Struthio camelus: one gene and its partner. The protein of the gene in region 1 purifies or fractionates together with the protein of each later gene. This does not show direct contact. Links are inferred from orthologs where the notes say so. Each region holds a gene or a part of one and is shown on either strand. Other genes may lie near its edges.

Region 1 (15,762 bases):
AATCAATAGCTAAAAGAGACCAGCCTAGGAGAGGTGTAGGGAAGAAGCATACTGGGCATAGCTCACAGATGAGAGATGAGAACTGCGTCTGAGTCCCAGCTCTCCGCTGCAGAATGGGGTTGGGCAGGCTACAAGACCTTGCTGCCTTCCCTCTTCCACATCTAGGCATTCAGATTACTCAGAAATCTCTGTACCAGTTGCAGAACTGCTTCAGCATGTACCCTCAGCTCAAAATTACCCAAGAGACATTGCTGATACAAATGATCGTCCTATCCCAGCCACAAAAACAGGATGAATTATTCTGAAGGCAGCTACGGACTTGGCCTTCCAGAGACAATGTTCTTTCAGTGGTAATCTTACCATCTGTTTTCTACTAAGTAATCTAGTCCCAAAGTATGGAAGATGAACAGAGATGGCCTCAAAACATTTTACCAAGTAGAAAAATCTGCAAGCAAAGGAGTGCCTGGTTTGACAAGATTCTTGACTTTATTCCAATTGAATAAATCCACACATATGGAACACGTAACAAGCTTAATGAAGTAAGGCCATTTAAAAAGAAATACGGATGGAGAAGGGTTAAATTGGATCTAGTAGTAAAACTACCTTGAATTGTTCATATTCAAGTCTGCTGCCTCTCTCACAGTAATTTTTAAGGATGGTGAGAAAAAAGTCAGAAATCAAGTTTCAAGTAAGCGTATCTATGTAATGCTGAATAATGAAATACTCGACCAATCCAGCGGAAGTGTTAGTCAGTAATATTCTCATAAACAGACTAGCTTCAAGCGCAAGCGGCCCGAATTTGAAAGAATGCTGACAGTGTGAGCGAACACATCCCTTTCATGACTTTCTGAAAGAACAAAACTCTCAAAACATTTCTGCAGTCCTCAATGCTCTGATTGTGTGGAGAAAGTCTGATATCAAAATACCTTTTATTTTCATTAAACAGCACCGCTCATCTTGGATCTTGTAACTGGGGGGTAAAATCCCTTTTTCATTCCAGAATCCCTACATCCTCTGTGAAGTACTGAGGAACACGGAACCTCCCTACTGAAAGCTCAACACAGAGAAGCTGAGAACTTGTCCTCGGACAGAAGGCACTGCACACAGCAGTAGGGTAGTGCAAACTCATGATAGGTAATTTGAATCAAGATACCTCCAGCTGCTAGCTCTTACCCCTCCCCCTCCTGTCACACAGGAGCATTCCTGTTTCAGAAAATGTAATTTCATAAGGACTGTTATTAGACTACTGAGTTTAAGTCCTCATAACCATTAGCCAGATTCTCTCCTTGTGAACACTCATGCAGCAAATCACACAGTAACACCTTCATCTTCTTGATGGTAAGAATTTGTTTTGACACACCAAATTACTACTCCATTTTTCCTATCAATACATCATGAATGTCATTACAACAATCACACAAATATTTCCTTCTGAATTATAGCAGTTTATTTTAATATTTTGTACAGCTAGCATTGGTCTCCAGTAATAAATTTAATCTTACATAAGTGAGCCCCCCCCAAACCCACCCTTAAGGAAGGAATGTTTAGCTTCCACCATTTCTAATTTAGAGGGAAATTATTTATAGGGTAAGACACAATTTGAAGACTGGAAAGAAATCTTTATTCACAAATTAAACCCCTCAGAAGTTCTCAGGGTTTTATTTACATGTACTCGGATTCATTAGCAAGTGCAGAGGTCGTGTTTTTCAAGACTGCACGAAGAATACATTCACCTAAGAGATTATTTTCTTCTCTGTTATGGGACAGGGTTTTGCTTCCTTTTTTCCTACCTCATGCCACCAGGTTCTGCTATGTAGATACATACTTTACGGTCTACAGACATCAACATTTTAAACAGATTTTTCCAAAAGGTACTCATATACCAGTCTCACTTCATTTATTTAGTTGTTCTCAGTACCATTTAAAACATCTTCATTTCTTCCTGTGTATTTACTTTTTTGAACACAGACAAGAGAAACTGATCTCAGCAGATATTGCCTTTAAGGAATAAACTACACATAAATAAATACTTTAAAATCCTTTAAAATGGTAATAATGTACATACTCTGCTCCAGTGCAGAACTTCACTATCTGTTAGGTAAAAAGCACCCCAAGTGTAGTTCTTCAGCAGCAGACTAAGAATCCCAGTCATCTGCTTGTACCACTTTCCTTACATTACTTGAGTAATGGGGAAAAAATGAGCAACCTAAGAGAAATTCCCTTCTCTCCTGCACTCAGAGATTTATCAGTGTTTGATATTAAGCAATTCACATTCTCTAGCATAGATAAAACAAAAAGAGGTTGCATAAACATTTCCTTCTCCCTCCCTAAAAAACACGCCATCAGTAATTCTGAAACAGTTCAGATAGTTCTATTGAACTTGGAGAAACACCAACAACAAGAAATGAGAGTCAAAAACTAACCACAGGCCTTACAGATTTCAGTGCCCTATTAAAAGGAAACCCACTTCGGGGGCTAAATTAGCTTTCTTTGCGTGAAGGCTGACAAACATCCATATCTCCACAGACCTTTCAACCTCAAAGGAATGCTGTTTCACCAAAAAGTACCTCTTTACTATACCCTTAAGCTTCACAGCCTTTTCAGCCTACTTGCTGAATGCCGTAACACTGACATATCAGTTGGTTTTGTAAGAAGTTTTTAGAGAAACAGTGCAAATGAAAATCCCAAATGCTGAACCTGATCCAGAATCTCCAGAGGGAAGTGAGAATTTTAATAGTCCTGACTGAAAATGGGCAGATGAATACTTGGGATTTTATTTAACTAAAGAAGCAAAATTAAGTTAGGTTAAGTCAAGTCTTAAATCCTTATGAAACTGATTAAATTGAAAATAAGATCTCAGCTCAGAAGCTGAATGTGGATTTTTCATCATTTTGAAAGTCTCATTTTACAACAGTGATTAGAAAGCGTAAGATTTCTTTTAAAAATATGTATTTTTTGGTGTCAAAAGGAAGATCAGCTCATTACAGTGTTGTACCTTTCACTCTTAAAAGGGACCACAAATTTTGGCGAGAAGAAACTCATAGTGAAATTTTCTTGTGTTTCTTACAGAGAACAAATATACTGCTAAAGCTATGGAAACTTTCAGCTAGGCAAAAATGGGCCAATGTAGCACCTTACTCCACAAGAGCATCCCAAAATGCTTCACAATACAACAGAAGAAGTATCCTTACATGAATGTTATATACCTGTCTGAGGTTTTTCTGATGCCACGTAGTGGGGTTTTTTTTTCCCCCCTTTAAGAAGTTATATCCCAGTTAGAATAAAGCAAATTCTTCCGTTTTAATTGTTCTTTTCAACATGTTCTATATATACAACCTTTAAAATACACTTAAAAATAGCTGCACACATTTTATATCATTCTACTGGAGAAGGGCAGTCCAGATAGACCATGCTTCTCAGTATATTAAAAACTGTAAATAAAATCCAACTAGACCTACTCTCCTCTGGTACCTGTGCCAGCCCAAAGGAAGGAAGGGAAGGAACAAGCAGTTTTAAAATGGGAGTCTTTCACAAAACACGCTACTTACAAATCTCAGGTTAATTTCCTCAAGTAGTTTTATATCAAATCCTTCCTTAAATATTTGAGGTCACACACTGCCATCTCAGCAATGAAATCTGTTGCAACATGCATGTGTCAGCTTCCCACTCAACCAACTGCAACCCTGAGGATATGTCTGGCCTGGTAGAAAGAGGAAATGTGACACAATTCCTGAAGTATGGCTGGTCCTCCATTTCAAAATTCTGTATGGTTTCCTTGATGGTTCTTGGACACAAACCCACACTTTTTTTTTTTCTAGTTCACTTTTCCCTCTAATCAACGTGCAGATTTCTCCTCCGAATCATTCACATCTTGATGTCCCAATGAAACAATCCACATCATCCATCCAGAGGTTTTCCCAGGTACACCAAAGTCACTTCCGTGTTACCATACACAGCAGACACTGCTGGATACAGGCAAACTTTTGGCAGTCCTCTGAATGCAACTCCCAAAAACTCATAGCCCCTCTCAAACGCTAACGTTTTGTCTTCCATGTCCAGGATAACTCGAATCCTTTCACCTATCTGGAAACAGAAATAAGAAGAGGAAGAAAAATAAAACAAAAGAAAAAGTCAACATATTCAAATAGAGACATGAAAAATAAAGCAAAGCCCGTGTACAGTACAGCAGATCACCTCAAAGGGAGGTTTTCCTGTTTCTCAAGATTGCACTACTTTTTCCGTGGAACTTCTCCATTTCACTGATACACGTAAGATTCTGAGCATCTGTACTGGCAGTTTCCAATAGGCAACCTATATCTAACCACCAGAGTAACAAACGTAGCCCTTTGCATCAGAACATCACAATAGCACTGAGAGTTAGCATAACATATGCCATTTACTTCAGAATTCTGCAGCTTGGGGAAGTTTTGTAACGGCCTCCACCCAAAGTTACCCAAACCCTGCATTTGGTTGCTATCACTGACCAGTAATGTCCGTGCTGAGCAATTTTAAAAGACAATGAACCTGTTTAAAAACAGGTAAGCGCAACATACAAACTATACCAGAATATTTTACTGACTATACAAGTACTGTCATCGTCAGAGGGATTCCTTGGTAGAAAGGGCAGAAAGAAATTACAGTGCAAAGCCTAGGTAAATTAAGTATGAAAAACCTAAATATATATATACACACGAATGAAAAGAACACTGAATGCAGTAAGATAATCAGATCACAACATACACAATGCTCCCAGCATTCACCTACTACATATTTTTCAAATGTAAAGGTAAGTCACAGACACCAGCAGCAAGCACAACATGATACAGCACAAACTTCTGATTCTCCACAAGCCAACTGCAACGTTGGCATTTTCTTCAAAACAACACATTTTTCTTCCAACACCAGCAAACATATAGTTACTTTTAGTGTATTATATACAAGCAGCTCACTGTGCTTGTTTTACTGCATATAAAGTACTTTAAAGGATCACCAATCTGAGCTCTAACCAACTTTTAAAAAGAAAAAAGCAAGTGCAAGACCTGTTCTCCCTCGAGTCCACATGAGAGTTCTCCTGGCTCTAAAACTTTTTCTTGCCCTGTGGCTGCATAAAGGCCTAGATACAGACAGCAGAAAATGACCACAAACGGTCAAGTCTGGAAAGTGCACTTGCATGTTAAAAAACATGCAAATAGAAAGCAAACTAAATCTCTTTAAAAACACTCATTTTAGGTTTTGTTTGCAAAAATGGCAGGTACAAGCTTCAGACCAAATCAGATCAAGTGCTTGGCAGCGAGCCTTTATGTGAAATTTAGGAACATCAGATACAAGTTCCTAAGCAAATCTTCACCCACAACTGAAATACAAGCTGCTTTGGAGTCAACATTCGTACAAAACCTTCGATATTATGAGTCAGGCATTATACTGCGCATGGCTGAAGTTGTAACGTGAGGAAATCTAGCAGTCAAACCATCGTGCAGATGGCCAAGAGAGCAAAGGTAAACCACTTTGATATGGACAAAAAGACAGAATGGCACTTCCTCTTTAATAACATCTATTTATCTGAACATCACATCCCAGCCTAAAGATGTCACCTTTAGGAACAGTGCCAGGGAGCAAACAAACAGCACTCGGCATTACTGCATTTTCTTGCAGGAAAACTCTTACCTAAGCACTAACTTCAACTCCCACTGCAGGGTAACAAAAAGATAACACAGCTACCACACACACAGTCATATCACTGACAGGCAAAATCTTTACTTAAGATAGCCAGAATGGCCTCGTCAGCTTCTTTTTCAAAAAGCAATTGTCTTTAGATAAGCACCCATAGTGTGTGTTCCTCACTTCATATTTGAAATAAAAGTTTATTTGTTGTCTTCAGTAGGGGAAACAACAGAGAATGAGTTGTACTGAACATTACACACAGACATAATCGAAGGAAACATTAAGGGGGAAACCCCTTGTACGGCACCATCATTTACCTCCTGCAGGGACCGTTTTGCTCTAGATGACCACTTAAGACCAATTCAGCAAGCAGCTAACTACTACATGCTATGAAGAAATTCTTGGAGGACAGCTGCTGTTCGAGACAGTAAAGCTCCCAGCCTGCGCCAAGTCTCACCCACCTGGTATTTCGGTGCGTTATTGCACTGAGGGAAACTGCCGTTCACTTCTCCATTATGCAGTAAATTATTGTCCACCAAATTCCAGCCCCAGCTCTGGTCATCGCTCCCCAGTAGTGCCACGTAGCCCTGGCACTGCATGGCAGCCCGCTTCGTGGCAATGCCGATGACAGCCACGGTGCCCAGCGGGCCCTCCCACCACACTTCCCACGCGTGGCGGCCCTCGCTGAAGCCGATCTTGGTCCTTGCCCCATCCGTGCTCTGAGCGATGGGGTTGCGGTGCAAAGTGAAGCCGTTCTTCTTGATGTAGACGTTCCTGGAGCAATCGTTGGTGCTAAAGGCGTGGTGAAAGGCACGTACCTAGCAGAGAAGGGGAAGGGAGAGGGCGTTCAGGCAGGAAGGGACAATCCAAACCCTTCTAGCGGTGCCGCTGGCAGGGCAATATCGACCGTCTTCCCCCCCGCCCCCCGCCCGGCTCCTAACGCGGGGCGCACAACGGCCCGCAGCCCAGCCCAGGCCGCGGAGGCCCCGCGGCTCCCCCGCCGACCCACCTTGCCCTTGTAGGTGGGCACGTTGCAGAGGATGTCGGTGCGCAGCGCCTCCTCCGCCAGGCAGCGGGCCGCCAGGCTGCGCCACACCTCGCTGTTCTCGTCGCCGTGGAGGACGCGGTGCCACAGCTTGCAGACCAGGGCGCAGCTCCGCAGCTCCCGCAGCTCCAGGTAGGAGAACACCAGCTCCAGCACCCGCCCCGGCAGCCGCCACCCCGCTCCCCCCGCCAGCGCCGCCGCCGCGCCGCCGCCGCCCGCGCCGCCCGCCGCCATCGCCTCAGGCGGCGGCGCCCCCCGCCGGGCCCGGGGCTCGAGGGCCGCGCCGCGCCGGCCGGCCTCGCGCGAGCCGACAGCGCGGGGCAGGGGGCGGGAAACGACGGGCTCGCCCCGCTTCGCTGGCCGCAAGCGCGGGCGGGCGGCGGAGCGCGGCGGCGGGCCCCGGGCCGCAGGCGCGCCGGCCGCCAGCGCCCGCCCCGCTCTGCCGCCGCCGCCGCCGCCACAGGCCTCACGGGGAGGGGACGCGCGCGCTCGGCGCCGCCATAACGGCTGCGGGCAGCGCCGCCGGAGGCCGCGGCCGCGCATGCGCGGGGCGGGGCGGGGCGCGGGAGCGGCCGGTGGAGGTGAGGGCGCCGCGCGGAAGGGGCTGCGAGGCCTGCGCGGCGGTTGGGGGCGGCGCGGCCGCGCCCGGCCGGTGGCTTTTCCCGCACCGCGAGGCAGAGCGCCGCAGTTTCTGTGACTGGAAACGCCAGCCGGCGGCTTTTAAAATAAGACCGCGCTCTGAGTCCCTCGGTCTGGCCGTGACGCGCTCTCCGTGCGGCCCTGCGCGCGGCCGCGGGGGCCGTTGCCCCTGAGGTGAGGTGAGGTGAGGCGAGGCGGGGCGCGCCCCCGTGCCGCGGGCACTGCGGCTCGCCCAGCTGCCCGTCGTTCCGCTTGCCCTGACTTGGCGTTTCCCCAGCATCCTCCGGTGTTTCCTCTCTACGCTCCTTCCTTCGTTCTGGTTACAGCCCCCCCCCCCCCCCGTTTTTCTTTCCTTCTGCTTGTGGCAGTGTCAGGGTGTCAGACTTGGTAGTACAGGAACCCTGCGAGCCCCTACACGAATACAACTGCATTAAAATAAATAGGACTGGCATTGGATTCAAATACACCTTTTAAAATGTATTACCTTTAAGCAGTCAACCTATATTAATGGCCTAAAATAATTAAAAGCATTGAGTTAGAGAATCAGTGAGCACAGTATTTACTGTTGAAACTTTAACTTACTAAACTTGCTGTGTAAGCAACTGCAAGCAGAGTTTCTTGTAACAGTGGAACAGCCACTGACAGCAGTACTTTTATCTAGCCATACAAACATATTTTTAACTGTATTATGAGCTAATTCTATTTCAATAACTCGTTTATTCAAAAGCTGAGAAACCAACTGGGAGAAGGTTTTCTTCCTGTAAAGCCAGAAACTAGATATATCAGTGAGATGTACTAGGTCCCACAGTGTGGGAGAGGGTAACCAGAAATAATTTTCTCAACTTCCTGAATACAGGAACATCATTTGCTAACAACATAGCTGGCACTTTGGGTAATTTCATTTAATCAAGAAGATTGAAATTCTGTCGGTGGATAGAATCAATTTTAACTACTCTTCAAATCCAGCTGAATAAAAATTACATACACAAAAAAAGTAGCATAGTACAAAAAGGAGTACTTCACTCATTGCTTTCTGATGTAATAAAAAGGTAAATGTTACAGTATGCTCTATGGTAACTTAAGCTCACTGGCATCCAGCCGTAGTTCCATCCTGCAAACCCCATGTTGTGTCTACTCCCTTGCACAGGTACTAGCTCTCCTTTGCCCTTGTGAGCTGGTTCAGGGAGCTAAGCAAGCTCAAACCTGCTGTGTTTTTGTGTTGCTTTTCTCCCTCCCTTCCTCCTTCCCCCCGCCCCATTTCATTTTCTGCTGGCATGGCTCCCTAAACTGTCTTATCATGGGCTAGTGCACAGGAAAGGGCCAGGAGCACAGTAAGCTGAATGTATGCTGCTTTAAGACCCTAGTAAATGTGCAGTAAACAGTGTAACTACTTTTGTTAAACTGCTGATATTTTTTTCAAACACACCTTGTGTTACTGTATGTCTGTTTAGGCAAATATGCTTTAGTGTTTACCAGTCAAGTGAGAATTAACTTCAGTTTGGGAACACGAAGTACACATGCAAAACAGTTTAAAATTTATTCATACTAATGTATGCTTTTAAACCATAATTAAAGTAGTCACTTCAGCATTAATCAGTTTATCCCCCTTTCACCAGCACAAGTTTTTTTACTCCAGGTATTACAAGGTTGCTTTACAAATTAATGTTGGATATTGATTATCTAGCATATCCATACCTGGATAAAAGGTATGTTCATATGTGGTTGCCCTCACACAGACTGGAACAGTAGGACTTCTCTGCAAACTGTAACAATCTTCCCCTTTCTCCTTTCCAGTAAGCCCCCCTTGAAACTGTGCCCCTAGTTCGTCAGACACACTATATCCATATTCACTGCAAAGAAATGGCAGAGAAAGCAACCCCCACTTAGGTAGCTACTTCAGAGCAGCAGATCTAATTCATGTCCTTCACAAGCACATATGCGATCACTTCTACCAACCCATTATGTTGTTGCTGATGTAGTCTGTTGATAATGCTTGAGCCAAAGCTTCCACCTGGGTACTTACCTATAGAGGTGTCTGTTTTCACTGGACACTAGAGTTTCATCTGGTGTGTGTGACTGAGTCAACCCAATAATCTCACTTCTTAGGTAAGCTTTACATCGTAATGAGAACAACTCCAGCTCAATTCAGTTTTCCGTTTGTTTGTTTCACAGGTGGCCCTGAAATATGGCAGTCAAATGGACTGATGGGCATTCCTCCTCTATACTGTGCCTGAACATAAACAAGGAAGGGCTGGTAGCTTCAGGAGCAGAAAGAGGCGAGCTCACCATCTGGGATGGAAAAGGCATTCCAGTAGGACAGCTCCAGCTTTGTAAGGCAGATGATGTTACCTCTGTTGTGTTCTCTCCCACCTGTCCTACCAGGCTGTACACTTCCCATGGAGAAACTATCAGTTTGCTGGATGTTCGATCTCTTAAGGAGCCTACTGAATGCTTCCAAGTGAACGAGGAGGAGATCAGTTGCCTTTCAGTGAACGAGACTGACAATTTCTTGGCTGCAGCAGATGATTCTGGGACAATAAAGATTATAGACTTAGAAAACAAGAAAGTCAGCCGGTCCTTGAGACACTCAAATATCTGCTCCTCTGTTGTCTTTCGACCTCAGAGGCCACAAAGCCTTCTTTCCTGTGGACTGGACATGCAGGTGATTTGCATAAAAGTAGACATATGGTTATTAGAGAAGCTAAACAGAAACTACACGTGTGTGTAGTGAGGCCCCAACACACTTTCACCACACTTCCACAGAACAAGAGGGAGAGTCGTACAGCCTGCAGCCAGTGGAAAGCTCTTTAACTTTCCTAAAGTAGTTTTGGCAGAGAAGCTAACAGTGTTGAGACTATTAATGCTGTTTTCTGCTCAGCAGTTAGTCTTGCGATTTTTGTCTTCATTAATAGTTACAATATAGAAGTGAGGGGGAGGGCATCAGAAGATGGGGCAACTGCATCACCTCTCTGTTTCACAGAGCAAAAACACAGGCTGTCTCTAGCGATCAATTACGGCTGCAAACAAAATTTTGATGGTAGTTAGGAAAATGCAAAATACTTGAAGCTGACAAGGTGCTAGCAAGAATACTTTAATATAGATAGATAAATATCTATCCAAGTGGTATGTACCACTGTAAGGATTAAAGTTATTTTTATAAATTTATTTTTTATCCTTTGTTCACAGTATCATCTTGAAAGTGTTAAATGTACTTTTCCTTTTTACCTTCCTCAAGTGGAAATTTTGTCATTTGCGTGCTCCTAAAGAGCATTTTTAGAAGAAACACTGAACCATGCTAGAGTTAGTGGAATGTTGAGTTACACTGTCAAAGTTGGCACCCAATATCACCCAAAGCAGATTTTTTTTTGTAATTACTTCCCCGTGGTTGACGTGTGACCACTTTCCTGTTGTAGAGTGGGGAAATGCTTGGGTGTTGTTTTTCCCCTTCTTGTCTGCACAGTTCACTGGAGACCACCAAGCACTGCAAAATCCAGTTTCCATCTGATGAGAATGCAATATTGCAAAGACATAAGCAGTCTTCTCTGTTTCAGAACACCGTTTTACGGATTCCTCTTAAGGTGTCCAATAGAAGAAAAATACCTGAGATTAGAACTACCAGTTCTCCAAAGGTTTCCGTGATTTTAGTGGTGTTAAAGATGGATTTTTCTTTGACAGCTGTAAGCAATTTCATCCTGTGTTCTTAAAACTAAAGTACCTCTGACATCAGTTAGGGTGAATGCATTTTGATATAGGTGATATTTTTCCATATTAAGACCAGGGTTTATATAAATTCAGTAAGTAGATATAGTTGAATAGAGGCTGATTAATAGAAGTTTTCCAAATTTTGACTTTGACAGATCTTCAAACACAGTTGGCTAAAAGATGGATATAGAATCTTAAATGAAGTACTTTGGGAAACTTCTTTTTCAGAGATACCAAAATATCAGTTTGAGAGCAGTAAATGCTTGGCACCTTAAAATGGTTATGTATTTTCAGGTACCCTACGTGCCAATTCACAAGCCTATGGCTAGAAACTTTTTATCAGAATTTTAATCATTTATATCAGATTTCAGCGTGAGAAAACTAGTTATTTTCTGTGACATTTTTAGTTGTAGTGTGTTTTACTATAGGCAAATTAGGTTTTACGTGAAAGTCAGTACCCCCAAAATAGTAGACATTTATGAGCATTTTTGTACAATGAAAAGAGCATTTCTACAGACATCAAGGCTGTCTTTAGGATATACCATTTCACAGAGAAGCTGAGCTGTAATAAGTAAGATACTTGCTTTTCAGAAAGCTTGTTACTGTTTGGGTGCTTTACCACTTAATCCAGATGTATTTGCTAAAGCTCTTGCAGCGCTATCAAAGATGAGAATGGGACTGTTTGCCTTAAGCATTAGACCCGGCCTCTCTAATTTGCTCTATGCTGCCGAGTCATCATGGAATGTTTTCCCTTTCGTTAGGAGCAAAGCAGTTTTACCGTAGCTGCAACAGTGAGTGCTCAAACACAAAAATGACAGCAAATAACTAATATATTTTGGATGTGTCTATGTAATTTGGCTTCTGTAAATTCAGATCCAGAATGACTCTTTTTGTGGCCCCAATTTAAAGACTTGGGTACTAAAGTAAAAGTGCTGTTACAGATGCCTAGTGGTAGAATATGTTTATTAATGACAGATCAAAACTCTCATTAGAAAAGCAAACAGTACATCAATGATGCATTAAAGACTGACTTATGCTTCCATATCTGTTGGTTCTAAAAATGCTAATCATCAATTCAGATTATTATAAATAATATTTGTAATTTTTGTAAATAATGACTGGTCATGTTTTAACTGATGCAGTATAAATCTATAATACTTGAATACCTGTATAACAGACACAGGGCGCATTTGAAGGCACAGTTATTGCCTCAGGAGGGTCCTGAAGGTGGTGTGGCATTTTAAAAGGAAGTCTAAAACCCCCTCCATCAGCTCCATATCTTATCAGGAAAAGTGTGCTCAGCCCTAATACAGTAATAACACCAACTAGATCTGCCCATTGTCTATAAAAGACACACATATATTTGTACAGAATTGAGGGAATGAACTACTGTTAGCCTTTTGCTGCTTCATTTTTCAAACAAGTTAATTGATTATCTTAGAACAAGTATGTAACAGAGACAGACCTAAAATTCAGAATGATACAGCTCTCTTCATTCACTGATAACGTTTTTGTGTCCCTTCTCTTTAAATAATTAAGAAGTACCATATATAATGATTTCTACTACTGAGATGAATGCAAAAGCATTTAGAACAGCTTTTTCACTCATTTCACATTCTAAAGGTTTGAGTCATTAACTCTATTGGGAAAGGCATGTGACAGTTTGGAAAGTGTGCCATAAAGATTTGCTTTATTTATCCAGTGGGGTTCAACCACTTCTCACAACAGATCTTGCATCTCTTGCCCTCTCAGTACAGAGTCTTTGATCTGCTAGAGCAATAACTTATTTCTTTTACCATTAGTGAAAAAATCTGATTTTACTTAGGAATCAGACGCTGCGTTGACAGACCATTAATTCTTAATTTTTTTAAGGTTATGCTGTGGAACCTGCAGAAGGCTCGTCCACTGTGCACCACAAACTTGCAGGACTGTGAAATGGATGAAGCCAATCCACAGACAGCTGGCCACTTCCTTAACCCGCCACTTGCACATTCCCTGTCTGTCGCATCATGTGGCAACATCTTTGGTTGTGGAGCTCAAGATGGTAAAGTCAGAATCTTCAGGGTCACCGGTGTTAAGTTTGAACATGAGTTAGGATTTAAAGGTCACAGTTTGGGAGTGTCACAGGTCCTTTTTATGCCAGAAGCATATTGGCTGCTGACTGGAGGAAATGACGGGAAAGTCTTGCTCTGGGATGTCAGCAGTGGTGTTGGGAAACAACAGAAAAGCCCGGCAAAATCTCTCCAGAGAAAGAAGGCCCAAGCACCTACTTCCACCAAAAAAGAGGGAAAGCCCAACAAAATGGTTTCAAATGAACATGCTAGAATTTTACCAAAGCTAACCATTGAACATGGAGAGAAGGTGAACTGGATCTCCTGTACAGAGATCAAAGGCTCTAAGAGAGTATTAGTTGCTGATCAGAGTAGTTCTATATCTGTGTATCCATTACCAGAAGCCTAGGTGCTGAAATGTTTAAGGAAATTTGTGGTGAAGAATCATTTCCTAGGGTGTTTGAAATGACAGTTTCAAACTGTCAGCTACATCTGCTGACAGTGAACTGAACAATGAAACCTCCTGTAGCCTCAGGAATGGCAAGAGATTTGCTGTGTTATTTCATGCAAATACTTATGATGTTAACTGACCTTGCATGGTATTTTCCAGTGGCTAGTATTCACCTCAAAATTTTCTGGTAGAGTTGGCAATTTGCGTCTTAAATTTAAGTGAAACTGGTTTCAATAGATTTGGGAAAATATTAGTTCAAAACTGACCGGATATAATTAAGATTGGAGGAAGAAATTCACTTCAACAGGGAAACCCACAATACTAAATTAGGATGCTGAGCAGTAATAAAGATGTAACTGGCTGAGCTCCTTGCATTTGTACAGGGAGTCTGAACTATTTCAGTGCTTTACTTTACCTTCCCTATTAAACTGTGTCACAGTTAGCTTAAATTGGACACAGTGTATTTTTCGTTAATTTGTCAGTGGGTGCCTTTAAGACTAAAAACACATTTGTAAATTAACTTCTCTAATGAGTAATCAAATCCCTGTAACAGTCACTGTCAGTTGGATTTTTTTTCACCCTGTAAGCAAAGGAACTGGAGAAAATGTTAACAAGTGTTTACTTGGTCAGTCATCTTACACATGTAATTTGCTTTCAAAAATGTTATTTACTCCAGGAGAGAAAAATAACTATTGCATTTGTCTCAATAAATGCTTGATCTTTCACTGCACCCTTGAGCTCATGCTCACGCTGGTATTACCAATCTTACGGGCTAAGCAAAATTGTACCACAAAGTAGATTTTATAGTCATCACAGAGTAAATGGAAAGGGCCAAATGCACTGCTCTTCCTTACCCAAATACTTCCATTGTTTCACAAAGCTGTTCTAAATACAACAAGTAGCATTAGGCCCTTATGGCTTGTTAGAAATGCTTCTTAATTTGCAAGTTAAAGGCAGGAAAAATGTAAAAAGTGGGAATGCCTCAGATCTTGACATGCTTAATTCATGCTAAATTTCCCATGCAATGGGCAGATAATTAAAAGAAAAAAAGCTTATTTTCTCAGGCTGTCCTGAGCTTCTTACAGGCAAAGAGTGAATGCGTTGTACTGGTTAAATTGCTGTTTTAATTCATTTGTCTGTGTGCTGTCTTCAGTATTTATGTTACCAGTCACACGTTACCTACCTTTTTTTTATTTTTGATGGAACAAATTTCCAGGCCTTTGTGTACCCAGCTCCTGCAAATAATTAGCCAGTAGCACTGGCTGTTCAACCATTATGGAAGACATTCTAACAAACAGCCTTGTTTTTGCTGTACTTCATTGTCAGAAGTAATTCCCAGCAAGCCAGTACAACTTGTCATTCTCATCCAAATCTAATTTTACTTAAAAAGAAATTTGCTTATGCAGTCTCTAATACCAGGAGGCTTTGGCCCAAGACAAGAAGTGATAGGCACTACAGCAAAATAAAGCCTAAACACATTAGAAACCAGCATAGTGTAGATATCCCCTTCCACATCACCTTCAAATTCATCTTATACATGAAGACAGACAGGATCACTTGGTCAGAGGAAGTGATCCAAATGCATAATTCACTATGTAATATGTTCATGAACATGTGTCTGTGCATCTATGAACTATATTTAGATGTGCAGGCTATAAAAAGCCTCAGTGCAAAACAACCTCCAGCAGGAATCAGATCCCCTGTGCATGTTGTTGCTGACTGCTTCAGGAGAGTGCAAGCCTATTCCAGCTTTATTTCTTCTCTTCTTGTTTTCCATGAAGATGACTAAAGACGGCGTGTCTCTGCGCTCCCTGAACAAGACATTAAACAGGTTATTAAAGGGTTGTTTTAATAATACATTAAGGGGCAAGAAAGGACAATCCTTTTCCGGAAAAAGGAGGTACGGGATGGGGCAGGGGGGGAAAAGACAAGACTATCCTGTAGTGGTCTGTTAGCAACATGAACTTTTACTTCCCTTGGAATTTTTCATGGGAAATAAAGAGAATATAAATATATATTGTGTGTATATGGAAAGGGAGCAGTTCATGAGCGATCTTCTCTTTCTCTCTTATTCATTTGAGAGCGGACGGGGACAAAGCAACACGCTGCACCACTTCATGAATGCCATTCTGGACAGCTTGCAAGCTGCTAGCCCCACGTGTTTTGCTACAAGGTTCTGTGCAATTGCTTGATCAGCAAAGACCTATGGCTTC
Region 2 (16,225 bases), on another chromosome or scaffold:
GGACAAGAGGCAATGGGAACAGACTGAAACTCAGGAAGTTCTACATGAACACTGAAACTCAGGAAGTTCTACATGAACATTTAAAAAAAATAATAATAATTTCTAGCTGTGAAGGTGGAACAGATTGCCCAGAGAGTTGTAGAGTCTTCATCTTTGGAGATATCCAAAACTGGACTGGACACGGTCCTGGACAACCTGCTCTAGCAGACCCTGCTTTGAGTAGAGGAGGCTTGAACTAGATGATCTCCAGAGGTTCCTTCCAACCTCACCAGTTCTGTTCTATGTTTTTCTTGAACAGGTAGTAACGGTGTTTTACCTTCACATTCATATAAAGTGTCCCACAACCTTTAGTGAATCCAATTATATAAATTGAATGGTTGTTCATATTTAGACAAGTTCTTAGCGTGCTTATATAAACAACTAACAATAAAACATAGTGACACTTTTCAATTTTGTTCATGATGTGCTAGGTGCAAACCTGTAGCATATGTTCTTAATGTGTTCTCCTTGCAGCATGAAAAATCTTTCTACCTGTTACACCTCATCCTTTTGCTGAGATAATTACATTTTCCTCCCACAATCATACAGATCATCTCACTCATACATCTTTCTTTCCCACTTGATTTATGAAGTACTCAATTTATTTTCATGCTCATTTTACAGCTAACAATGTGCTTTAATATTTTTCCTGTCTTTTCTGGAGTCAGCATAAACGTCAAAGAATACCAGCCTCTGATTTATTCTCATCAGATTTTGAAGGTAATTGTAACTTTCTAAAGCTCCTGATGACATCGTCATCTATCCATTGTGTTTCATCATTGTTGGAGACTTTCTAAAGAAGTTCACAGTTCTCAACAGTGCTGCTTATAAAGTCTCATTTTTGTTCAAGGGGACTGAGACACTCTCCTCTTACCCATTACTGAGTTCTCTATATGGCTTCCTTTTTTATATATATAATCAACAAATTACAACATATTAAGAATTTGTCTTTCTAGGCAGGTTGAGAAACATCTTTTGACAGCTGCTAACATAACACTGCAAAGTTCCTAACCTGTCCTGATCAAATTCCAGACATCTTTGTAGCGAAGAAATCAAACATAATCGTCGTGGCTCTCTGCATCCAAGCATAAAAGCTGCAGCACTATCCTCTGAAACTTATCTTGTTTGCTGGCATGTATGTTTGTGTATGATAGGCTCTGGGACGTATAAGAATATGAAAGATCTGCCTCTTTAAAACCGTTCCAAGTTGAGAATAATATTCAGCTCTACTGAACAGTAATAACAGTTCAGATCTGTCAGCTCAATTGACTGAGTATTCGACTACCAGTGCCAAATTCAAAGATAGTGTTCTATTCCAGTGCTGCTTGCAACAGTGGGAGTATCTGGGAGTATCATGAGTTGGTATATTGTTTGGGCCAAAGTAACATGCCTTGCTACTCAGAATAGTAACAGTCATAGGAGTGTGTCATCTTGGTGGTACAAGAAGTAATTAGAGCTGCTTGAGTTCAATTCCTAATTTCACTCTTTTCGGGGTATATTTTTCATTTAATTCCTGCATGTTTCTTGTAGTTTGCTAGCTTAGTGCACTGTGACACCATTTTATTTTCTTGTTAGAACTTGTAATGCAAGATACAAATGTGCTTGGGTTACTGAAATCCACACTTTCCCTGAGTTTGACAGTAAGAGAGAAAGAAACATGTCTTAGGCTGTTAACCGTATTTCCTCAAATTAATTCACTAGTTACACTAGAAGGTGCTGAAATATGACGTGCCTGGAATAAATTCAGTGTTGATGTCCTTGCACCAGTGAGCCACCAGCCTCGTGACTATGGTGCGCTTAGAAATATGAGACACTGAAGGAGTGACCAGTCAAAATTCACCCTGACTCATATACTCAGTTTGAACTAAGGGTTTCTCTTTCTTAAAACGTGTGAACAAGGGGGCTGTGACTGTTTTTTTTCCCTCCTCACATCTCAGGCACAGCTGTAATGTATTTAAGCAGTCTGCGCAAAATAGAACAACTTCAGCAAGAAATGAGAGAAAAATCACCACCATAACCTCCCCTTTAAGGTGACCAGAAGAGTTTTGAGGAAATGGAAGATATGGTTTAGAATATGGAAAATCTGTTTTCAAATCTATCTGTAGTAAGCATTAACATTAAACTAATCTTATGGAGCTAGACCACTTTCCTTGTGTGCTGCTACAAATGCCTGGAAAAGAAAATATTATTTTTGGGTTAAAAACATAATTTTCTTTTTTCATGGAGGTGAGAGAAATTGAAAAGCTCTCCCCACCTAATGTGAACGGATTCTTCTCTTGCACAGCTACTAAGCTGCAAAATCACATAGCCTTAGTTTGACGTATCTGTGTGTGTCTGTGCCTGTGTTGGAAGGAGGATGAGAGAAAAATTGCATCAATTTCACTCACTACTTGGTCTCCTGATTGGGCTGGAAAATAATCAAAAATGAGTCTAGCTAACAGAATTCAGTCACCCAGTACCAGGGCAGCTTATTTCTTAACTTTATGTTAAACTATCACCTCTATGAAGTAATTCACCGAAAGGCGGAGCACAATGCCTAAGCTCTATGGCAAAACACTGTGCCGGTAATGGTAATTATCCACATGTAACTTGATATACCTTCTGCAAAACACGTGAGTGATGAAAATAGTGTTGTTTTCCCCCTGCCCCTCCCTCCTTTGAATCAATACAGCTATGCATAAAAGTAACTTTTGCAAACTCACAGTTTGTAGTCTTTTCCCTCTAAAGCGATAGTCAGCATTATTTTAAGTAGCAGCTTGAAGTGTCTCTCTCTTGTTTGTTTGTCCGATATTACGGTAACGTCACCAGGCTGTGCTGCTAGTAATTCAAGTGTGTGTGATGGCATATGTGAGCCCATTCCCTGTATGCAGGAAAGTGTTCTGTCTTGCTTGGATTTATATGTTATCCAAGGAGAGAGGTCTGTCTGAACACCAAATAAGGTGCCATCTGAAGGACTAGTCAGGGAGGATAAATACAACATTTCACAGGCATACTCTTGAGTGGCACAATTAATTTGGGGATTCTATGGACTTGGGGGTGGCGTGTTTTTTAAGTCTTTTGTTTATTGCCTAATAAGCCACACAAGTTAATTTGGTAGTATTATATAAGGAGTTACTTCGCAATGGAAATAACCTTCCTTCAGTGGACCTAAGCCCGCTGTAAACAGAGAGAGGTAAACAGAGAGAAGTCAGTTCACAAGTCTGGGCAGTGAATTTGATGTATTATTAAACATGATAGCAGTCTTATAGGTGAGGATCTGTGCCCTATTTGCTTTGCAAACAGACTAGCAAAAAAAAAAGAATAGGGAACGGAAGAGGTGTGCTTCATATCAGAGACAAAAAAATAGAAGAAAATTGTATCTATAGATGTCAAACCATGTTAAGTCATAACATCTGAGACTTCACAGTCCTCAGAGGTGGTGTCTCCATGTAAATCATGCTACAGCTCTAAGAAAAAGTAAATAAAGGAAAAGAAAGCTTAAGTATAAGGTACAAAAATAATAGAATTTGGATTAATCTATACTGAAGAATGATCCGAGGGAAATGCTCTAAAGCAAAGCCTTCAAAACTGTCACAGGCACAGCCCCTGATGCTTCTAAACATAGGTAGGAGAGCAAAGACGTTCACAGAACAAGAATTTGGGGGAGGAAAGAGGGTAAAGTAAATAAACTCCTTGTTTTGAGTTGGAGGAATGGGATTGAGAAGGGGTAAGGAGAGGGGAAGCCAGCTGGATCCTAGATTCATTCCATACCCTATTAAGTCAGTAACAAGCCTCCAGAACAAAGATCCACCTCCTAATATACTACGAACATGTTACTAAAGCATATGAGAAACTACACTACCTCATGGTAGAATTAGCAAAATCCATACACTTGGATGCAGGCCATTTAGCATGGTAAGCTGTAGAGAGCATCCCATAAATAATGGCTGAGTAGGCTTTGGCCAAACACTTTCAAATATGTCAAAACACAAGTTGAAAGAGAAGTAGTGGGCTGCCTATTTGCTTTTGGTTTAACTGTTTATAATCTGCTCCCAGAAGTGTCAGGAATTGCCCTTGTTCTAGGGACCATCTGAAATGTGTTAACCCAGGGTTATTCTACTCAAGTAGAATAAAAGTTAAAAACACACCTATGGATGTGGAAATTTCTCACTGGCTGATTTAGTGATGTATATTGGTAAGGAAATCATCTCTCAATTGATTAATGTAGTAGTCTTTAGTACTTATAAGCCAATGAGGCAAAAAGCCTCCAAGAATAAAGTAGCTGGTGCAACAACGGGTATACGCATAATGCTCATTCATGGTCTAGTGACTGCAATGTGATGATTCAGATGTAGAAAGTGTGTGTTGTTTGACCTTACAGCTGAGAAGGTTGACTGAGCTACTCATATAATCAAAATCCTGTGAGTCTGTGTGTTTAAAAGAACCAAAATTAAAAGATTTAATTTAATTTATAATTGCTCAAGAAAATTATTTAAAGTAACTTACACTGTTAGTAAAAGTATGTCTGCATATAGATGTGTGGCATTTTAAGCAGTTGTACCCTATAACACTTTTTTGCTGTAACATCCTTTCACCTTCCTATCTAGACTTCCAAAACTTCCACTGACAAGTGAAAGTCCTACATATATCCCTGGCTCCCTGGCTCCCTGAGAATTTGAGATTCATGAATTTGAGATTGACCTATTTTATCCATTTGAGAAGACTCAATAATATCATTTCAGTCTTGTGTGAAAACATAATAGAAGGGGATATATAATCTTATCCCACTATTCTTTCTGGGATACTTAAGGTTATTGTTAGCAGATTAACTTGTTTGAGATGTTAAAAGAATTTTTTTCTCCCAAGCCAATAGAATGCAGGTGTGTTCTGTATCTTGTACAGGATGCAAGATTTACAGTCCCCACTGAAATGTTCCTCACATAGCTTCTGGCAGGACACTGGACTTCACCTAAGTGTTCTTTCTAATCCGTGTATCTATGGTAGGACTTCTGAATGGGATTAAATCTTACTCTGTATTCTATTTCCTTATCCTATACAACATGCTAATAAATTATTCCATGGGATCTAATCCCAACTACTCTTATTTACTGTAATGCTAGTCCTATCACCATGTTACAAGTAAAATGTTGGGGCATTTTTTGGGGGGGTGGGGGTGGGAGGGGTGATCTCACTACTGCACCTGAGGGAAGTCACTACCTTAACTTCAAGACTTGATATATATGGTACGTTATAAAACGTTTAAGACGATAGCTTTTACGCTGCAGGATTTTTTTGCATACTTTTAAGTGAGTTTCAAAGAAAAAAATTTAAAGAAAGGAATGTAGTGAATTAAAGGATAAACATCAGCAAAATAGAAAGTAAAAAAAGACAGACGTTGGAGAAGGGAGCTTTTGGACAGAAGGCTCTGTGGAATCTGTGACAGCCAGCATTCAAAATAAAAATGGTCATTTTTTTCCCCTTTAGCAGGTGTCTGTAATTAAGTTTAGGAAAACTTGACTTGTAAAATACATGAGCAAATACAGATATGAGGATTTGCTAAACTGGTTTTGAACATCTCAGTTTTATTTTTGTTTATATGTGCTTCATATAGACATTAAACATTGGGAAGTGTTAGAAGGTGTCACTGTTGGACCTGGAAAATAATCAGGTAGACAGGTACAAGCATCTCCATTGTAGGAATGGATAAGAAAGCATTTTCTCTAATGCGGAGAGAGCACAGTCCTACCCTGTCCTCTTTATAAATAATCTATTATTTATAATAATTTAATACATTAATTATAATTAATTATAAAAGGCACAGGATAGGAGCTATGTTGTAAAGTTCTTTTTTTCCTTTAAATATAATAAAATCTCAAAATAAATGCTGGCATTTAAAATATAAAAAGTTGTATATTTGTGAGCAAAATGATAAAACGGACTTTAGTTTTGTTGAAACTACAAAATGAAAAACGGTCCCTTTAACTAATCACATTAGCAGTGGAGCTGTAGGACTAGGTACTTAAACTTAGGTATCTCTTACCATGTCTTGTCTGCTTCACAAGACATCTTGATAATGACAGAACTTTAGTGACCAACAATTTTCTTTTTCACTGTTATTAGTTTAAGTCCCCATTCCTGGAGAAAATCTGAGAGCAAGAGGTAGCTGCTGCAGGTGAACAAAGAACTCTAAATAATAACCTGATTGTAGTAAATTGCAAGTTCTAGTGCAGAAGTGCTGAATTCTGTTCTTCACAACTCTCCCTGACTGCAGTTAACTATCTAGTTTACATATGTTGAAGTTATCTTATTCCAGACTCTGCTTGCTTTTGAAGAAATTACTATATTGTTTTTTTATGAGATTTTCAAAGTCTACACAACCAAGGCCTAGAAATATAATTCAAAAGTGAAAGGGTGAGATGCTGAAATCTTGGATGTTTGCCCTTTACATGCCATGATGTAGGAGAGGGGAGCTTTTGAATTACGTCAGAAATTCTTGTTCTGCTGTGTAGAAACTCATGTTAATACAACACTGATCAGTGTGAGCGGTGACAGTGAACGTGACCGGCCATCAGATTCTGACTCTGAAGGACTTCCGAACAATCTGTTCCTCTAAAACTAACTTATGAAGGTACGAAGTGGAGGCATTGAACTGCTAGAAACCCCACCTCAAGGCAAAAGGAAGAAGCTGACTGGAAAAGTATTTCATTCTGTAACAGCAAGCAGCAGATGATAGCAAAAAAGGAGGAGATGATTATTGTCAGAAGCAAGCACTTAATGCAAAGCACTTAATGGTTATTTTCATTTGACGGAAGTCATGTTTTGGCGGTACAATAAATTTATCTTTTAGGCATCTACTGCTGTATCAGATCTCCTGCACCTACATAAAGCAAAGGGCTAATCTGATGCACTTCGATTAACCAAAACTACCCTACTAGTTGTTTTAAACAAATATAAATCTGTAATCATTTCATCCCAGCTGCAGAAGTACTGGCAATACCAGTTCTGGGATAAAGCTGATCCAGATGTGTACTGTTGACTGTTTTTACATTGCATGGATCTGGTATTACCCAAATCAGTCTCAGAGAAAGAACATGAAATGTGAGTACTGTACCTCACACTTTAAAAAAAAAAGAGGAAGAGGAGAAAAAAAAGGGGGGGAGGGGCAAAGCACGTTCCTCATTGGAAGAACAAAAAAAGTGAAAATATTGCTGTGTTCCACAATAGCCTCACTAGGTGTCAATCATTTTTGTATTGCAAAAGCAAAAAGAGCTTGGAGATGGATGTATGGATGACCCAGAGTTACTCTTCCTCGGCAAACGCCAGCTGTATTGTCAAACATTATTGCTCATCATAGGCTGAAACTTAAAGGAGGACTGTACTCTGATCCTATGGATACTTAAAAAGATTCCTCCCCTAAAAAGCAAAAATACTTGAGATGAAAAACACACGTATAATAGTAGTTGCAGCTTGCAAAGAATACTGTTTGCCACACTGTGTGCAGCTCTGTACAACACAAGCCCAGACAACTTCTGGAGTTTGAAGCAATAAGCAAGAATTGCAATCAATTGCATCACTTCATAAAAGTGTGCCGGCGCTCTGCTTTTATGGCGCACACATTAAGAGAGCTACAATAACAGCATTAGTGCCGAAGAAGCATTCTGAGAGGACAATGCTACAGCAGAAGATAGCCAGCCAGCGCACACTTGGTGAGGGAAGAATTACTATTTGGATGTGAGAGAGGCAGCAGCTACAAGAACACCCCCAAATGATCTGAAACTTGCCTAACAGGAATGATTTTAGGTAGCTGCTGAAAGAGGTGCTAGAAACACTTAATAATTCCCAGAAGCAATACAATTTTTTGGTAGTTACCACCAGATGACATGCAGCATGGTTTCTTGTGGCTCCTCGTCTCACTGCTGGATTATCCTTTTCTGGTCTTTTTTTTATACACTACACTGTAAGAATTATGATTGAAGACTTTTTATGTAGTTAGTATTTTAATACCTCTCTTTGGCTGGACCCTGGTGCCTCTATCTGCATTTAGGCAGTAGCTTTTTCTTCAGTGATGGCACTAATTTGGCTGTCTCTCTGCTTCCTGGACAGCTGCCTTTTAGAAAACTTGTATGAATTCATTACTTTTGACATTCCATTTCTCTGCAAAGAGTACTTGAAATTTGGCTGGACTGTGTAATTATTGGTGGGCTATATGCAAGTTTAAAAAATGACACGTAATTCACCTGTATTTGCTGTTACGCAGGAAGGAAGTGTTGGAGAAAATATTTCTCTGTATTCAGCATCTACATCTTGCCAGGCTTTTTAGGCCCTCTTTTCAAAAGAGAAAATATGATAGCATGCATCTTCTTTGGCTGGTAGTTTTTCTGCAGACTGCAATCCAACCTGCATTTGGCATGCAGACTTAAAAACAGTATTTTTTTGTTTGCCCCCTTTTTTTTTGAAGTGTGCTGTCATCTGTACAGCTGAAGTTTTCAGCTCAGTACTGCCGTAGAAGGTGCGACCAACAGCTTCGAGCAGCAATGAAGGAGCAGGGACACAGGCGGCAGGGCTAAGATTAACATGGATGAAGAGCGAAATAGAAGACGAAGGGAATGCAAGAAGGTAGTCTAGAATTAAGAAGAACGTATAGGAAGATAGAGTAAAAGCATCTTGGAGCCAGCAAAGACAGCTTAAGGAAATTGAGGCCTAATGTAGCAATTGAATTATACAAGAGTGTATAAATCAGAAAAAGAGTGTTGTTCCTCGAAGGGGTCCCGGTCAGGCAGTGGACACAAAGCAGTCGCTGGCGGAGCAGGGCTCAGCTGCTGCGGCCACGCACCTGAGCGGCACGCGGCTGCCGCCCCGGCGCGGGGGCCTCGTGGCTAGGCCGCGAGGGCCACGGCTGCTGAGGTGGGGAGCGCGTGCCTCCTGCCCAAATACCGCGCGATGCCCAAGTAAAAGACAGAGCCCCTCTCCCCCCCTTTCAACACCCAGGGACGACAGCCGGGATGGGGGGGGCGAGGAGGCGCTGGGCCCGCCGGGCTGTGAAACGAACCCCCCGAGCGGCGCTGGCCTCGCCGTCCTCCGCCGCTAACGGCGGCACAGGCGCTCGCTAAGGCGGCGGGAGCTGCCGCGGCTGGGGGGGGGGGAGGGAAGCGCCAACGGCCGCCGGGCGGGCGGCGGCTCAAGCCAGCGCAGCAGGTGCCAGCGCCTGCCCGGCCCCGGATTTCCCGGGGGCCGCGCGGGGGGAGGAGGGGCGGGGCCGCACTGCGCATGCGCCCTCCGCCCCGCCTGGCACACGGCGGGAGGTGGGGCCGTGGCGGCGGCTGTGCGGCGGCGCTGACGAGAAACTCCGGCGGGGAAGCGGCAGCCGCTGGCCTCCGCCCCCTGCAGCGGGAGGAAGAAGCGAGCGGCCGCCTCCATCTCCTCCTCCTCCTCCCCCCCACCCCGGCCCCGCAGACGCGCGGTTCGGCCCGGCCTCCGGCGGGAGGGGGCCGCGGCCGGCTGTGCGCCCGGGGCGGGGCCCCAGAGCCGCGGCTGAGGGGAGGAGAGGGGGTACTCCCGCGCCCCCGGCCCCAGCCCGGGTGGATGAGCGGCCTCGAGGGCGGCGGCGGCCTCTCCATGGCTGGGCTCCGGCGGTGAAGGCAGCGGGAGCCGCCTGTGTCCGTGTCTCGCCGGGAGGCAACTTAGCCACCAGGGGGCGGGTGGGGAGGGGGATGAGCGCTGCAGCCGCCGCCGCCTCCTCCTCCTCCTCCTCTGCGGGAGCCGCCGTCGCCGCCTGCACCGGGGGCGAAGGCGGCTTCTTCTTCTTTTCCAGCGGCTCTGGTGCGGCGGGGCCCATGGGGCCCGAAGAGGGCTGTGGCGGCGGGCTTGGAGCCCTGCCTGGAGCCCTGGCGCCGCCGTCGCTGGGCTGCCGGGGCCGCTACCAGCTGCTGCTTTCGGGGAAGGCCCTGGCCGAAAGATACCGGAAGATTTACACGGCGGCGCTGAGCGACAGGGAGCTGGGGAGTCACCCGGGCAGGTAACGTGTGCCGATCTCCCTCCCGGGCGAGAGGGATGCGGCCGCTCCTACCCCGGGCTGGGGGAAGACCCTGCCGCCGGTGCCTCTCCCGTCTCCTGCCCTTCCTTGCCCTCCTCCGCTTCCCTGACATGCGGCGCAATGGCCTCTGCTGGGGATAACGTGGCCTTGGAAGGGGGGGGAGGGAGGGAGGGAGGGGGTGGTGATGTAACCCCGCTGCTCTCCGGGTACCATCCCCTGGCTGCCGCCGAGGCCCTGCCACTAGTTTGGCTGGCGGTGCCGTGCAGATGGCGCTGCCAACCCGTCCCCCCCCCCCCCCCCCCCGGCCAGTGCAGCAGTTACCTGTGCTTGTTTCCCCTCCCCCACCGCCGAGACTTGGGGCTAGATCACGCCCTTTTCGTGAAAGATAACCGTGTAAACTCCGCTCCTCCCATCCCTTTGCGGCCACCAAGGTAATAATTCATTTCCTCATAGTTTCCATGTTGAAATCCCGGGTAAACAACTAGCCCTATGGCCAGGCCTTGAGTCTCGCTGCTGTCAGGGTCTGGCGTGGCAAGTCTGAATCTTATGTTTTCTATTGAGACCTTTTGCTGCCTCCTTTGCACAGCACCTGCGTGTCCTCCTAGTGGGGCCATCCAAGTAAGCGGTCTTGCTGTTTTGCCTTATGTCAGAACAGCCTCTACCTGTCTCGCCTTATTCCTTGCGGTGATCTCCTCCTCTGCCCCCGTGTCGGCAGCCTAGGTATCCTCCAGCCTGCATGTCTTGCTACCCTGTGTCTGGAGAGGGACCACATCCCAGCTGTAGGCAGCTTTTTCCCCGGGTAGGAGGCGGGGGTGGGGGGGGAGAAAGGGTGTGTCATCCCTCCCCCTTCCCAGGACCTCAGACGGATGATGCACCCAGGGACTGCCTTTCTCACAAGCAGCTGCCCCGTCCTGCTTGCCAGTTTTCACCCTCCTCCATCCTCAGGCCTGAACAGGACCCGCAGGACCGTGCGGGTGCTTTTCCCCAGGGCTGCCTCGCTGCCTTCCCCCCGCCGGCCGTGACACGCTGGCTATCCCAGCGCAGCCCCAGCTGGGAGCCTGCCGCTTAAGGCTTTGCCGGAGAATCCCCCTGCCTCGCCGGCGGGGAGGAGGCCGCCGCAGGGGCGAAGGCGACAGCGAGGCGGGCGGCGGCGATAAAGGGCCGCCCGGCACGTGCTGGCGGGAGGGGCGGGGGCGCCCGGCGCGAGCCGCCTCCCTCCCCCCTCCTTCCCCCCCCCCCCCCCCGCCGCCGCCTAGGCGGCCGTTAGCGGGTGCCGCGCGCGGCCGAGGCGGCGGCCGTTGGCCCGCGGGGCCCGGCAGGCCGTTAACCCGCGGCGCGTGCAGCGCCCCGCCCAGGGCGGCGCTCCCGGGCCGTGGGGGGGGGGGGGTCGGCAAGGGGAAGGCGCCGGGCCGCGGGCTTGGCGGACGCTGAGTGACGGAGTGAAACGCGGCGCTGAGGGCGGGGTGAGGGGCTCGCAGCAGGAGCCCTGTCGCGGCGGCCGCTTTGTATGAGGGGGCCGACGGGTGGTGCTGCCTTGAGCCCTTTGGGGCTCGTCCCCCCCTCCGTGAGCGGTGCTCGAGTGCTCCCCGTTGTTTTCCTCTGGGGTTTGTTGAGGGCGTGGATGACATGAAAAGAGCACGTTCCCGTGTTTGCATCCTTTACTGGTATTAAGCTGTGGTGTGGGTGCCCTAGTCCCAGTATGAGTATTAAGTCACCGTTATTTGAAGTTTGCAAATGGTTGTAAAGCACTGGGTGGTTGTGGGGGGGAGGGGTTCTATTTTTTTCTTACTTTCTCCTTCTAGTTTCTTATATTATTTTACTCCTGCATGTATCCTTCTTGGTGGAGCAAATAACCCGTGTTATTCAAGTCACTCTGGAGAGAAAGGAACTTTCTCGTTTTGCTTTTCGCAAACGCAAAAAAAAGTGGACTTTTCAAACACAGGCATGTGGCATCTTTGCAATTACCTGATTCTGTTCAGAGTATGTGATAGGGAAACTAATTTCTTTGATTCGGTGCTTGTAAGAGTTTCCTTACTCTTATAATCTGTAGTTCAGTGCTCATACTTTTTTCTCTTAACTGCTCTTTTCCTACTCGGAGTCCTGTATTATGTAATCCTGCTACTGCAAACACTAAATGTAAGGAAACTTAAGCTTTAATCAACCGTGTGGTTTGTTCTAAGGTGTTCAGACATTTATCTGAACTTTACTTGTCTATATATTTTTTTAAAGTTTTGGATTTGTTGTGTTCTCGGTGTTTTTTTTTTGGTTTCAGGATAATTTAACTTGTATCTTTTCTACTTAACTGTTGTGGAAAATACTAGCTTTGAGTGTGTGTCAATTTTGATGTTTCTTTTAATTGACGTTCTTAAAACATTTGCCTCCAGGATAGCGTAGATTGCATTCTTCTTGGATCTGTTTGTTACTGAAACATTGTTATGGGAATGTCAACTAGAGTTGAAAGAGTGAAATTCAAAATTACTATATATCTTTCTTTTTGAAGGCTAGACTTCATCATATCTTGGCTACATTGTGTCATCTTAGAGCAGATCAAAGAAGCCAGAATCCTCTACAGAGGGAAAACAGAATATAGCAAGTGAAGAACAGCTAGTTTATGTTTGTGAATGTAGCCAGTCTGGACTGTTGAACTTCTAAGAGGATTAATATTTAATAATCAAATAGTTGTCCAATATCTCTTGATACTGACCTCCAAAGTCTATTGTATCATACTTTCTAAAGAGATGCTTTCAAGTAATTTGTGATTGCATCTAGGTATCACAGTAGATAACAATATCAGATGGATTAATTCAAGATTAAGACACTATAGGTTATAACATGCATCTTGATTTGGTTTTTGTCTAGGTGGAAAATTGAAGCCTCTAAAGCTCTCGTTAACAATGTTTGTGACTAGAAAAATATCTTGAAGTAGCTTAAAAATTAACTAATAAAATTCTTCCTGTGTTCAGAGGAAACTCTGTTTTGAGGAATGATAGTGTAACCTGTTTGTAGTATGTTGACACAGAGTTTTTGCTTCAAGCATGCAAAGTAACATTCCACCCTTACAATGGTGTGACCAATGCTTCAGGGAGCACTTTATCACAAACCTGACCTTGATTTTTATGAAGAACTAGAAAGCAGTATCAAAATGCCCATGCATAGACAAGGAAAATTAAACGTTGTGGGGATTACTTAGTGTCACATGTAAGATTAATTTCACATTTACAGAGTGTTTGTTTGAAAGTAGTAAGTATTACGTGTTGAATGGGATGTAACCATTGGCTTTAACAAAGAAGTAACAATGCTTTGCGTCCCTTATGTGGTACAGGCCATGATGTCATGAACACTTTTGTCTTTAAAAGAAACAGTTCCGTTCCTATGCTTGTTCCCCGCTCTGTGCTGATGTACTTATGTATGTAGCCTCTTGCAGTACCAGGTTAGAGACCTACTCTGGGTTAAAATTAACCCAGCAAACATGGTTTGTTTTAATCCAGATTAATTCCCCAATCTGGCTCACCTTGCAATTTTACCTGTGCTTGTGACAGCACGAGGGGAAGGGTTGCCCAGGAATTTATGTAGACAGGTGGGATGAGAGAAGCTGCTGCTTTTGTCACTAGTGTCAGCTTAATATGTTTATGAAAGGAAAGCAGAAAACAGTATCTGATCTTCTCATGTACAACCATCTTCGGTCAGATGACAACTTTAGGAGTATATTATAGTACTATTAACTGTTCAAAATTTGCTTGTCGAGATTTTTTTGAAAGATAAATCTAATTTGATTATACTTAATTTGTGATCTGTTTTGTGGCTGCTGAAGTAATTGAAAATGACTGGTAGTTGCATAATAGCTGGTATAGCCATGAAGGTCTGTAAAACACCAGCAGAAGGTATGAGCTCTGTTTAGAGGGCAAGTAAAACTTCATGTTATTGGAGTATTGTGTTTCTCCTGTGCTTGGTATTGAGTAGATGAAACTGCAAGTCTGCTCTATTGAAGCTAATCAAAGACAGATAACCATGTATTTTTAATGTTGAAAGTTGCTCATAGCTCAAAGAAGAAGGTCTCTCTCTCTCTCTTGTGCGCGCATAGTTCTGATATTTCTTATACTTATTACTAAAGATAATGCCGTCCTGCTGATAGTCTTCAAGTTCTTAATTTGTTCTTTACAAGAAGTTTGCTAGAAACGTGCTATCAATTATTTTAAAAATAGTAACCATTTAAAAATACAAATGATTTCTCTGGGTTACCTTTTTTGCCCATCCCTTCTTTATTAGACTTGCCTCTTTTAGTTTAAATTCTTCACAGGAGGAAAAACTTCTATCTGTATTCTGGGAAAAAACAAATCCAAAGTTGTGAAGTGGCTTGCCTTGAGAACAGGGAAAATTCCAGTGACGACTGGAATGTAGGATTTCTGCTATTGACCTTCTGCTTGTTTTTTCCAGCCATTTTGGCTGAAGAAGAAGCAGCCAACTTCTTCATACTTGGTGATAAAGGGAATTTTTGGAGGTAGGCCAACTCATCTGCACTCTTAGTGGTAAATTATGCATCTATTGGGGCAAACTGATCTCTAATTTAATGTTTATGCATTTCAGAGTTGACCCTAAATCTTCCCTTTGCTGAAAAATGCAGTATTGATTTGGCCCCGGAATGTTTTTAATGTTTACTTTTCGGAATTTCATTGGAGAAGGGCTACTGAACTACTTTTGCACTGCCAAGTTAATAAAAAAAATTTGTAGAAACAGTGTTTTGTGTTTAGATGTGTGAAGTTTGTGTTGATTTGGTTGTTAGTATACCAGAAAGCCTTAATTTCTTAAGATCTGCAGCCTTTACAAAGCTGTTAGCTGTTTTTGGTTTGAAATTTGCATTTTTTAAATGAAACTATAATTCCAGAAAACTTGGAAGCTTTTGTTTGAAAAGCTGAAGGTTATGTGTAAAGACTAATAAAATAAGGAGATGTTAGTGCTTCTTATGAAGTATTGTGTGTTGCATTGCCTCTCTCTTTATTTTTCTAAAATAAGATTTGCTGCTCTGTTTTTTTTTTTAATTCTAATGTTTTATAAACATTGTTTTACAAAAAAGAAGTTGAAGTTAGTCCGTGTGTAAACTTAAAACTATATTTTGTTGGACAATTGATGTGCTGTTGGGTCCTACATTAAGCTAACTTATGCTTCAGAAAAGACGATAAGAGTTGCTGTCTGCTTTAGACTTTTTGTTTGGAATATAATAGTATTTTGCTTGTTATTTAATCCCTGTTAACCCATAGCACAATAAACTATTAATCTCGTGCGTTTTAGTTATTTGTCAGTTTTTTCGTAGCTTTTATTTTAAAGGCACTGTAGTAGACACTTAGACTAAGTCTAACAGGGTTTCTATTCATGCGGTGTTAGCATAGAAAAAAACAGTTATAATGAAAGCTGGAAAGAAGCAAGTAAACTGCAAAATTATTAATAAATCAAGGAAATAGAATTCAGGATGGAAAACTGGGGCAAAAGTTTTTTAGATGTTTTTAAAAGGACAAACTGAGTTCTCATCATGAAATTGCTTGGAGAGGCTTAAGATATATGTCATTTGAGAAATTAGAAAACATGGAATCCATGAGGGGAGCATTCAGATTTTGTGGGTTGCTGGAAATGAACCTTCTTTTCATGAATACAGAGGTGGAAGTCTCATTAGAAGTCTAGTGATGCTAAAAGACACCTTTATCATCTTGTGTAGTCATTCATTCTTCTGTTTCTTATTTAGCAGGACAGTGTGCAGTTTAGGAAGGAATTAGTACATATGATGGAATCACGCTTTGTGTCTTTGTTGTTTACTAAATCATATATGAAGCTTTTGCCTTTCAGTCACAAGTTTGACTATAGGCTATGGCTAAAATTGAACAGAAGCTCCAGAAGGGCTGTCAAACTGGTCTTTTTAGCTAAGGGGGTGTGGTTGTAGGTCAAGTACCAGCAGCTATTATATACTGTTAATTACATTACATGACTATATACTGTTAATTAATGACATTCGGGATCTTTACTTGTGGAGAAAGAAAACAATTAGGTGCAGAACATATCAGTTTGTTACCGAATTATTTGTATCGGTACCCTGACCATTTCACTATAATGTCTTGATTATTGTTGGTTAAGCCTTTTTTAGTGTTTTAGTAATATGGTAATTACCTCCGGAAGTGTCTTTCTAGC

The links.
Region 2: the proteins of FBXO45 (region 1) and MYCBP2 purify together in Homo sapiens (affinity purification with western blotting; 7 studies listed by BioGRID and IntAct, with this or other methods). This does not show direct contact. The link is inferred for Struthio camelus from reciprocal best matches to the Homo sapiens genes FBXO45 and MYCBP2.

Annotation. Positions count from the first base shown.
Region 1 is NC_090950.1:2,491,547-2,507,308, reverse strand, and holds FBXO45 (F-box/SPRY domain-containing protein 1), read right to left. Parts: upstream 6,941-15,762; coding exon 6,671-6,940; intron 6,480-6,670; coding exon 6,123-6,479; intron 4,084-6,122; coding exon 3,898-4,083; 3' UTR 1,425-3,897; downstream 1-1,424. Other genes in the region: WDR53 (WD repeat-containing protein 53), read left to right, coding at 9,531-10,007, 12,920-13,507. UniProt on the Homo sapiens protein: Component of E3 ubiquitin ligase complex consisting of FBXO45, MYCBP2 and SKP1. Functions in substrate recognition but also plays an important role in assembly of the complex.
Region 2 is NC_090942.1:176,665,489-176,681,713, forward strand, and holds the start of MYCBP2 (E3 ubiquitin-protein ligase MYCBP2), read left to right. Parts: upstream 1-9,537; 5' UTR 9,538-9,728; coding exon 9,729-10,033; intron 10,034-16,225. UniProt on the Homo sapiens protein: Atypical E3 ubiquitin-protein ligase which specifically mediates ubiquitination of threonine and serine residues on target proteins, instead of ubiquitinating lysine residues.